Linked DNA regions of Saccharomyces cerevisiae S288C. The gene in region 2 interacts genetically with the main gene of each other region. Each region holds a gene or a part of one and is shown on either strand. Other genes may lie near its edges.

Evidence for each region.
Region 1: mutations in TMS1 (region 2) and NNF2 together harm fitness more than expected from each alone (negative genetic interaction), as found in Saccharomyces cerevisiae (2 studies listed by BioGRID).

The regions. Positions count from the first base shown.
Region 1 is NC_001139.9:655,193-660,270, reverse strand, and holds NNF2 (Nnf2p), read right to left. Parts: upstream 3,312-5,078; coding exon 501-3,311; downstream 1-500. Other genes in the region: CTT1 (catalase T), read right to left, coding at 3,949-5,078.
Region 2 is NC_001136.10:664,812-668,547, forward strand, and holds TMS1 (Tms1p), read right to left. Parts: upstream 1,960-3,736; coding exon 538-1,959; downstream 1-537. Other genes in the region: SPO71 (Spo71p), read right to left, coding at 1-99; ARP10 (Arp10p), read left to right, coding at 2,193-3,047.

The DNA.
Region 1 (5,078 bases), on a different chromosome or scaffold from region 2:
TCGTAGCTTGTAATGTATTTGAATTGGAACCATCTAATTGTTATCTGCCATTTTAGTATTTTGGACAAGCTCCAAATATGTGGTCCTAAGTTCATATCGAGGATACAGATTATTTGGGCCGTATCTTTGATGTCATGGAGAGTAGTGTGGCCTTCCAAGTCCTGGGGCAGCTATTAATTAGGGAATGTTTTGATCAACAACTTAGTGTTAATAGTAGACACAACGATGTGAACTGTTCAATACATCAGCAAACATTCTTAGTTTTTCTCATATTTTATGTTTACTTATGTTAACCTGCATTATTTCCATAAATAACAAAAGGCAAAAAAGTAACAAATGAAGTTATTAGGAAACAATAAAAAAACAATATCGAGAAAAAAACGACTGACTACATTTAAAGTAGAACGTCCAAGTAATAAATACATGTATATATTCAATAGAAGTAAATTTTAGGATGCTACAAAACGAATTCTTATCTATCTTTGTTTTCTAATCTTCCATCAGTAACTATTACCAATTAGACTATGTATATTTTCATTCTCATTTTCTAATCTGTTGATATCTTGCTCTAACCCCTTTATAGTCAATTCAAATTTATTGGCTTCGCGTATCCTGTACTCCTTTCTTCTAAATCTATCCTTTTCTCTTTTACTCAAAAATTGAGTACTGAACTTTTCTATCTCTTCTGCGTTCTGATCGACCTCCTTTTGTAACTTCTCGTTTCTCGCGTTCAATTTGTCCAGTTTAGAGCCTAGTTGAACTAATTCTTGATTGACCTTTTGGAACCTCCCTTCTGAGTTTTTCAGGTCTTTCGATAAGCTTTCTTCTAACTTACTGAACTCTAATTGATTTTTCAAGTGTAGATCTTTCTTTTTCAAGTATTCCTCTTCTAATTCAAGCTCTTTTTCAGTGAGAGTTTTCAATTGCATCTCTAACTTATTTACCGCAGTCTCACTTTGCTGTAGGGCAACCTTCAAATTTTCGACTTTTAAAGTGCTCTTTTCGTCATGTGTTGCGTTCTGTGAAATCCTGCCTTTAAAATAATCAATTTCTTGTCTCAAAAGACTTAACTTCTTGCTGAATTCCTTTTTTGTCTTTTTCAATTTTGTCCTTTCATCGGACAAATTTGCGTTTGTAGTTAGCACGGAATGCTTCAGAGTTAGCAACGGAGATAAGAATTTCCTATGGTAGTATGAAGGGAAGCTGAAATCAAGGTTTTCAAATTTTCCGGCAATCGCATTGTTATTCCCACAAGTCCTTACAATTAAATCAGAAACCAAATAATCATCTCGGTGATTTAGTCTGTTGATGAATTGAATATCATAAGAACAAGAAGGGACTAATCCGTTAACGACAACGTATTCTTCGCCTACATGCTCTAAAATTAAAGCGCAAGAAACTTCTGACCAGATAACACCGTTTACTAAAACAATGAGTTCGCCATCATGTAAATTTTCAATATGGAATGTAATAGAGTTTGTGCTAATATCAATAATGCAAACTTTGTAGTCATTATCATTTCTATTGAAAATATTTTCATTGGTGGAAACTAAATTTAAAAGATTGTAGTCATCAGATGTTGTCTTTGCAATCAGGGCCATAGTATTTGAAGGTTCGAAATTGTTAAACACGCTCTTCTTAAACTTTCCGGCATGGGTGAAACTAATTCTTGATGAAACTGAATGTGTATTAATCGTGTCCAAATCTTTGTCATGTTTTTCCTGATTACTGACGTATGAAGTATTCGAATTTGTTGGTGTTAGTGAATTTTCAGAGGTTTCTTGTAAGTATTTTTTTTCAAAATTCGTTGTTTTTAATGTAACTACCATAGACCAAAGAGGTGCAATCAAGTGTTGATTCTTTCTTCTGAATAGAAGACGGATAAAATTTTCCAAGTTTGATGTAACAGATATGTCTGAAGATAATTTGCTAGAAGAAAACATGTTCCCAAAATCAACATTCAGTTCAAACAGTTGGTTAGTATACTTGTCATTGGAAGGGGAAAAGAAATCAGAATCCTTTTTCGAATTTCCATTCGAGGAATCAGATAGAGAGATTTCATTTGACAAACTAGTGTTATCACCAGAAAAGTTGAACGTTGTAGGAGAGGTTGTTGTACTGGTAGTAGTAGTAACGGCTTGAGAATTGCTTCCTTCAGCAGAGATTACCGATGGCTGATATGACTTATATTCCTTGACCATAGAAGTGAAATAGGGAAAACTAGAAGTAGCATCAGTAGGATAAGAGGCGGCAGGGTTCAAAATATTACTGTGTGATGATAGGGGAACTGGCGAGTTATTTTGTTGGGATGGATGGATAGTTTGATTGCTGCTGCTAAGTCCACCTGGATCGTTCGGTATCATAGGACTTTGGTCCTCTAAAGTGTTCGAATCGGCAGAAACGGAAGAAGAAGAAGAAATTCTCATCTTTTGCAGACCTTGAACACGGGCTACATCTGGTTTAGTTGAATTGAAACCCTTTTTCAATGGCTTGTTTTCCGCTGTTTGTCTATGAGGGTGTAATAAACTTGAAGCAAATGAGAAAAAAAGGATGTGAAAGGATAGATAATAAATCATACTGTCTGAATGTTTGCCAAGCATCTTGAAAGGCATTGGCAAAAATAGAGAGAAAAGCTTTTTGAAAAACTGTGAATACTTGCGAAAAACCGTGAATAATTTAATTGATTGGCCGGTTCCTCGTAAAGACATATCAAATAACTGTATAATGTCAAAGAAGTGTGACACTCTTTGAAAAGTGTTAGTTGACACAGCATACAATACTGAGCATGAAGTTGCATAGCTTAAGCAATCGCTTGGATCATTGATCAAAAATGAGGCAATAATAGAAATTGCCAGATTTTTTATTGGCTTAACAAAATAATCGCCACCGTAAATCTTTAGTAACATTGCAAATAAAATTTCACAAATTAATACGGGGATCGGAATGACGAAGCTATTTTTTGAATTGCCAAAAAATCGTGAATTAGATTTTCGGTTTGAACTACCATTGGTCACTTTGGAAGTACTTATATCTATGTGCGCCACTTCACCGATATGGCGGGAAGGTTTTTTCGATAGGAAAAGTATAATAAAACAATTTGCCAGAAAATCTTTGCATTTGGTAGCAACAATAAAGGAAACCAATAAACATAGGGAAGTGAAGTGGTTAAAACTCAAAAAAACCAGGAACAATGCAAGCGTATCTTTAAACCTATGTTTTTTGGCAAATTCGGTGGGCTGTTCACTCCTTTTAGTGTTCATTAATGACTGTAGATGTGATACTTTCTTCTGATTAGTAAATTGTTCCTCCATGAAAATTGTGCATGGATCCTTTTATGTAACGGAGATAGGTGGAATCTTAAAAAATATTGGGGTGTATATGAATAAAAGTTATTCAGAGTGATTACCTAAAGAGATGGTACGAAAAATGTGGAGATAGAAAACAAAAAACTTTGGTAAGATATTATTATAACAGAAAGAATTTAAAGTTTTCTCTGCTGGTACTCTGTATAATCCTCTTAGTCCTAATAAAATTTGTTTATTCCTCTTTTAATAGAAACTAACGAGTTGTGAAAACCTAGTTATGTTACTTGTTATATTACACCTTCAAGAGGTTTAGGAATTCAACGTTATAAACACACAACTGCATAAGTTAGGCTACTTTTTTTTTTCAGATTGTCCGTATAATGCGATAATCGTTGAGTTCATGCCGATCTAAGTACCGAATTAGAAAAAAATGTGTCAAAAGTAGGCAGCCAATCTGTTTTGCTGCCATATTTTTCCTAACAGGATTTGCTATGTATGAAGTACGATAAGTATGAAATATTAGTGCTTGTACATACGACCAATTTGTAATAACTAGTGATGTAGAGAATAAACTTAAAGAAAACTTATGAATAAATAATTATGGAGATATAATTACGAATAATTATGAATAAATAGTGCTGCCTTAATTGGCACTTGCAATGGACCAAGTCTTGGCATAACCTTCAAGGTCAACAGGTTCCCAAGGAACTCCCAAGCATTCTGCAATGACTTTACCCAAATCTTCGTTTAGCAAACCAAAGTATTGCGTAACTCTCTTTTTGACTTTAGGATCTTTGATCTTACAAGCGTGGCAAACAACGTTATGAACGAATAATTTCTTCTGTTCATCGTTGTATACCTTTTCATATAGAGCTCTTGGCTGTTCGAAGTCTAGTGGACTAATACCATAAACGTAGTAATATTGATTAATTTTGGCATCAACAATATGCTCGTTTCTGATTTGGTCTTGTTCCTGTTTTCTCACAGAAACTTCTGTTACTTCGTCAAGAACTATCCCTTTGAACTTATCAGATACTTCGTCGTTGTCTTCATTTTTGAATTTCAGAGTTTGATTTGGTAAACTGGAAATATAATTTGGCTCAGGACCGAAATTGTAGTAACTCATTGGGCCGTCCCTTTGGAAGTTCACTGCTTTAAATGGACACTGTTCGGCAGTGTATTGGGAATCACCTTTGGAGTATGGACATCCCAAGTTTCTTGGTCTGTTGACGGGCAATTGCTGATAGTTGGCTCCCAATCTATGACGTTGAGTGTCTGGATAGGAGAAAAGTCTGGCTTGTAGAACGGAATCATTAGAAGGCTTAATACCTGGGATACAAGTGTTCGTTGGACTGAATGCAACTTGTTCAATTTCTTGGAAATAATTGTCAACATTCTCCGTTAGGGTGATGGTACCAAATTTTCTCAAAGGGAATTCCTTGTGTGGCCATATTTTCGTTAGGTCATTTACCGAATACCTGAACTTAGTTGCTTGTTCGGGTGTCATTGTTTGCACATAACAGTTAAATTTTGGCTTTTCGCCATTTTGCAATTGAGTGAACAGCTTTGCCTGATTATAATCAGGGTGGGAGCCTGACAGTTCAGCAGCCTTATCTCCAGTCAAGGTTTCAAAACCAGTATCCGACAAGACGTGGAATTGCACATATGTGTCCTTACCTTCTTTGTTGACCATGATGAAGGAATGACCAGAGTACGCGTTCATACTAGCCCACGAAGCAGGAGTACCTCTATCACCAAACATGTAAGTTATTT
Region 2 (3,736 bases):
GGTGAAGACCTTGACATTTGCATTTTGTGGTGAGCTGAAGCTAGTCACTCTCTGCGCGTACTTAACATCGTCTTCAACAACATTAACGATAGAATCCATATTTCGAAATGTTTCGAAGACAAATCCCTTTCTTTTACAATCACTGTATGCTGACTTTTGTTATTGATATTTTCACCAGACATTTCTTTAGCCACAATGATTTTGTTTTACCATATCTTTGAAGCACGGCGCAAACTCCGAATATCGCATAAAGAAGGTTGAGAGAATGTTTTCTACCTTTAAAAGAAGAAAAGAGATCCTTCGAAAACGGTCGATCGATAATAACTGTAATTGGCATTTCAAATAAATAGAGGATAGTTAAAATAATCCTCGAGAAGCGATATCTCAATTAGATAATTAAGATCCATTTTTTTTTGAGGGAGGTTTACTCATCTTCTTGAAACTAGTGCATGAGTATAGTAAAATTAGTGTTTCTACTGGGGGCTACTTAAAAAAAAGTTACATACATTATAAGAAAATCTTTTTGTGTTAGTCTATTTAATAGTAATTCTCGTAATCAAATCTATCGGGCATAATCGCTGGGGCTACCACTGTCCAACCGTAAAGGGCATAACATATCCATGCACTAACTATTTTTACCCAAGAATAAAAATATGTTCTTCCTACGGGTATAAAATCACCTACATCATCCTGGGTAACGTTTATTGTTAGTAAAATTGCAATCCACTGGGTTGCCAGAAAGAATATAACGTGGAACAGAGTGTAATTGTACTTGGTTCCAGTCCTTTCATCATCATTTTGGTTATCCATTGCGCCTGTAGGAGATGATGTCCCTAACCAAGCGGTATCATATAAGGCACTTTCCGGTAAAGATCCTTCTTCTACAGCTTGTTTAATAGCTTCATACCTCAACTGATTTCTTGTCTGTCCACCTAGTCCTTCGTACTCGATATCATTCCCGAGATATATAGCACCATTAGTATTGGTGCCTTGAAAAGCACTATTAGCAGCGGCTCTAGTTGTGGTGTAAGCAATCGCAATAAAAGTAAATAAAGAGCCCAAAATGATACTAAACTTACGGGTTCCACTAGATCTAACCAACGGATTACACATTTTGTCATCCGGTTCGGAAGACATGGCACTCATTGTCAAATAAGTACAGTAAACAGAAACCATACTACTTTGGGCCAGCCCACTTTTAGGGTTGGCCTCTTGGATCTTAGGATTCACCGATAAGACAAGCGTTATAACAGTTAATATTAAATTGACTGTTACCGCTGTTTGATTCATGTTACATTGTTGATGACAAAACATAACATACATAACAACAGTCATGATAATCGATGCGGTATACATTGAAGTTGTCCCTAAAACCAAAAATCGTTGCCAGAATGAGGAATCTTCATCTTCTGACTCAACGTGACTAATACACGTTTCAGCCCACTCATGAGCGAAGTCTACTAATAATATAAGCCCAACCAGGATGAAAATTGCTCCACTAGGGACTGACACCCACTTGGAAAAGAAAATATAAAAGTCATTGGGGATGACAAATGACAAAACAATGAGACATAAATACAGTATAAATTTTAAACTCCACCACGAATTCTGTAATGCTGCTCTTACGTCATTAGTCGACTTTACGCCCGTTAGTACAAGCGCCAATATCAAATGTAAGCATCCCAATGCAAAATTCAACCTATGAACTGTAAAAAATCCACATTCCCCAGTCCCAGTACATGTCTTCCCTGGCCATAGGATTGATTTGTTCGCAGAATAGGACACCCATGATATCAATGAGTTAAGTAAAAGCCAAACGGCGTACAGAAGTCTTGTCCCTAAAGAAGAAGATCCTAGGGAAGATGCAGTCTTAGTCACCAAGTTTGAGCAGCAACCTCCAAAACAGGACGCCACGAATGAGCCCGCCATGCTAACTGGCAAAGAAATTACGGCACCCATGGTAGATTGTTGTACTTTGTGATGGGTATTTTGATATGAAGTAAATCTGTTGTTTGATTATAAACTTCGTTTTGGGGGCATAAAGACCTCAAAAACAGTTCTCTTTTTTGTTAGAATCTAATTGTCGGAACTTCTATTGTAGCCGAGAGACATAAACAAAAGAGGTACAAATACTACAATATTCGACACTGTGAAATGATAAAAAAAATCTACCCAGGAAACCCTATGAGGAAATGTCGAATACTATTGTGATAGTCTATTTGGGAGCTAACAGAATCGAAATTGGAAGAAGTGCTGATGCGTGTCCACAAGAAATTATCGCCTGGAAAACAGGTAGTATTAATGAAAAAAATAGGGAAGAATTGAAAAAAATATTTGAACATTACTTCCAAATTTGCAACATCTTGGGAAATCGAGAAGTACAAGTGTTGATACTAGAAGATATCTTCATTTCTGTAGTAGAGAAAAGAATTATTTGTAGCATCTTGTTTAAGGAATTTGACTGCGCTCACGTTTCGTTTGTCCCCAGGGCCATTGTGCACTGCTTATCCTGTAATACAAGGAATGCCATAGTTATAGATATAGGTACCAATTATACTACATGCGTACCTATTTTCGACCTTAGACCTTTGCAACAGTTCATAAAATACTCAAAACGAGGCAAAAGACAGGTTGAGTCAAGAATTCCTCTCCCGGGCAGTCTCTACATGCCAATATTTTTTGACGAAGAATACAACTCTAAAAATTGTGAAGTAGATGAAACCCCGGTAATAAATCTTGTCAAAAATATTGTAGAGTCACTTCCTATCGACTTGAGAAGGCCACTGAGAGAAAATATCATTATAGTAAACATTGAAGAGGCGTATGAAACAGTAATAAGGAATTTATTCAAGTTAAAAATGGATACGTCCAAAATCCAGTTTCCTAAAAATTACTGGCAGGCTGGTTCTGCATGCGCGAAAATACTTCTGCACTATAAGGGGAGCAACATTGTAGGAATAGAAAGAGATGAGTTTTATAACAATCCTCATATTGCTCCTGATTGGTTTGATTATTACTTCAGAACTGGAGTGAAGCGCTTACAATAGGCTTTATGTATATGTAGAAAACAAAAACAGGAAGTGTTCTCTTCACCAAACTGCGTCTTTCCACAACAATTAGCCTTATTGAGCTTTTGATGTAAAAGTTTATGATAGTAAAGAGCTATTTTTAACAATAGAGGAGAAAAAATAAAAATGGTCTCTAGCGGGATCGAACCGCTGATCCCCGCGTTATTAGCACGGTGCCTTAACCAACTGGGCCAAGAGACCAATTTGGATCGAAAGTGTTGTATCTCAAAATGAGATATGTCAGTATGACAATACGTCATCCTAAACGTTCATAAAACACATATGAAACAACCTTATAACAAAACGAACAACATGAGATAAAACACGGCCTTCCCTAGCTGAACTACCCAAACGTATAAATGCTTGAACAATTAGTTTAGATCCGAGATTCCGCGCTTCCACCACTTAGTATGATTCATATTTTATATAATATATAAGATAAGTAACATTCCGTGAATTAATCTGATAAACTGTTTTGACAACTGGTTACTTCCCTAAGACTGTTTATATTAGGATTGTCAAGACACTCCGGTATTACTCGAGCCCGTAATACAACAGAAAGTTAACCATTAATATTTCACCTAATTACACACTCTCCTAAAGAATTTGGATTTGATAACTATCATGTCATTTGAAAGAGTAACTCGTTTTCAGATTTATTATTGCCG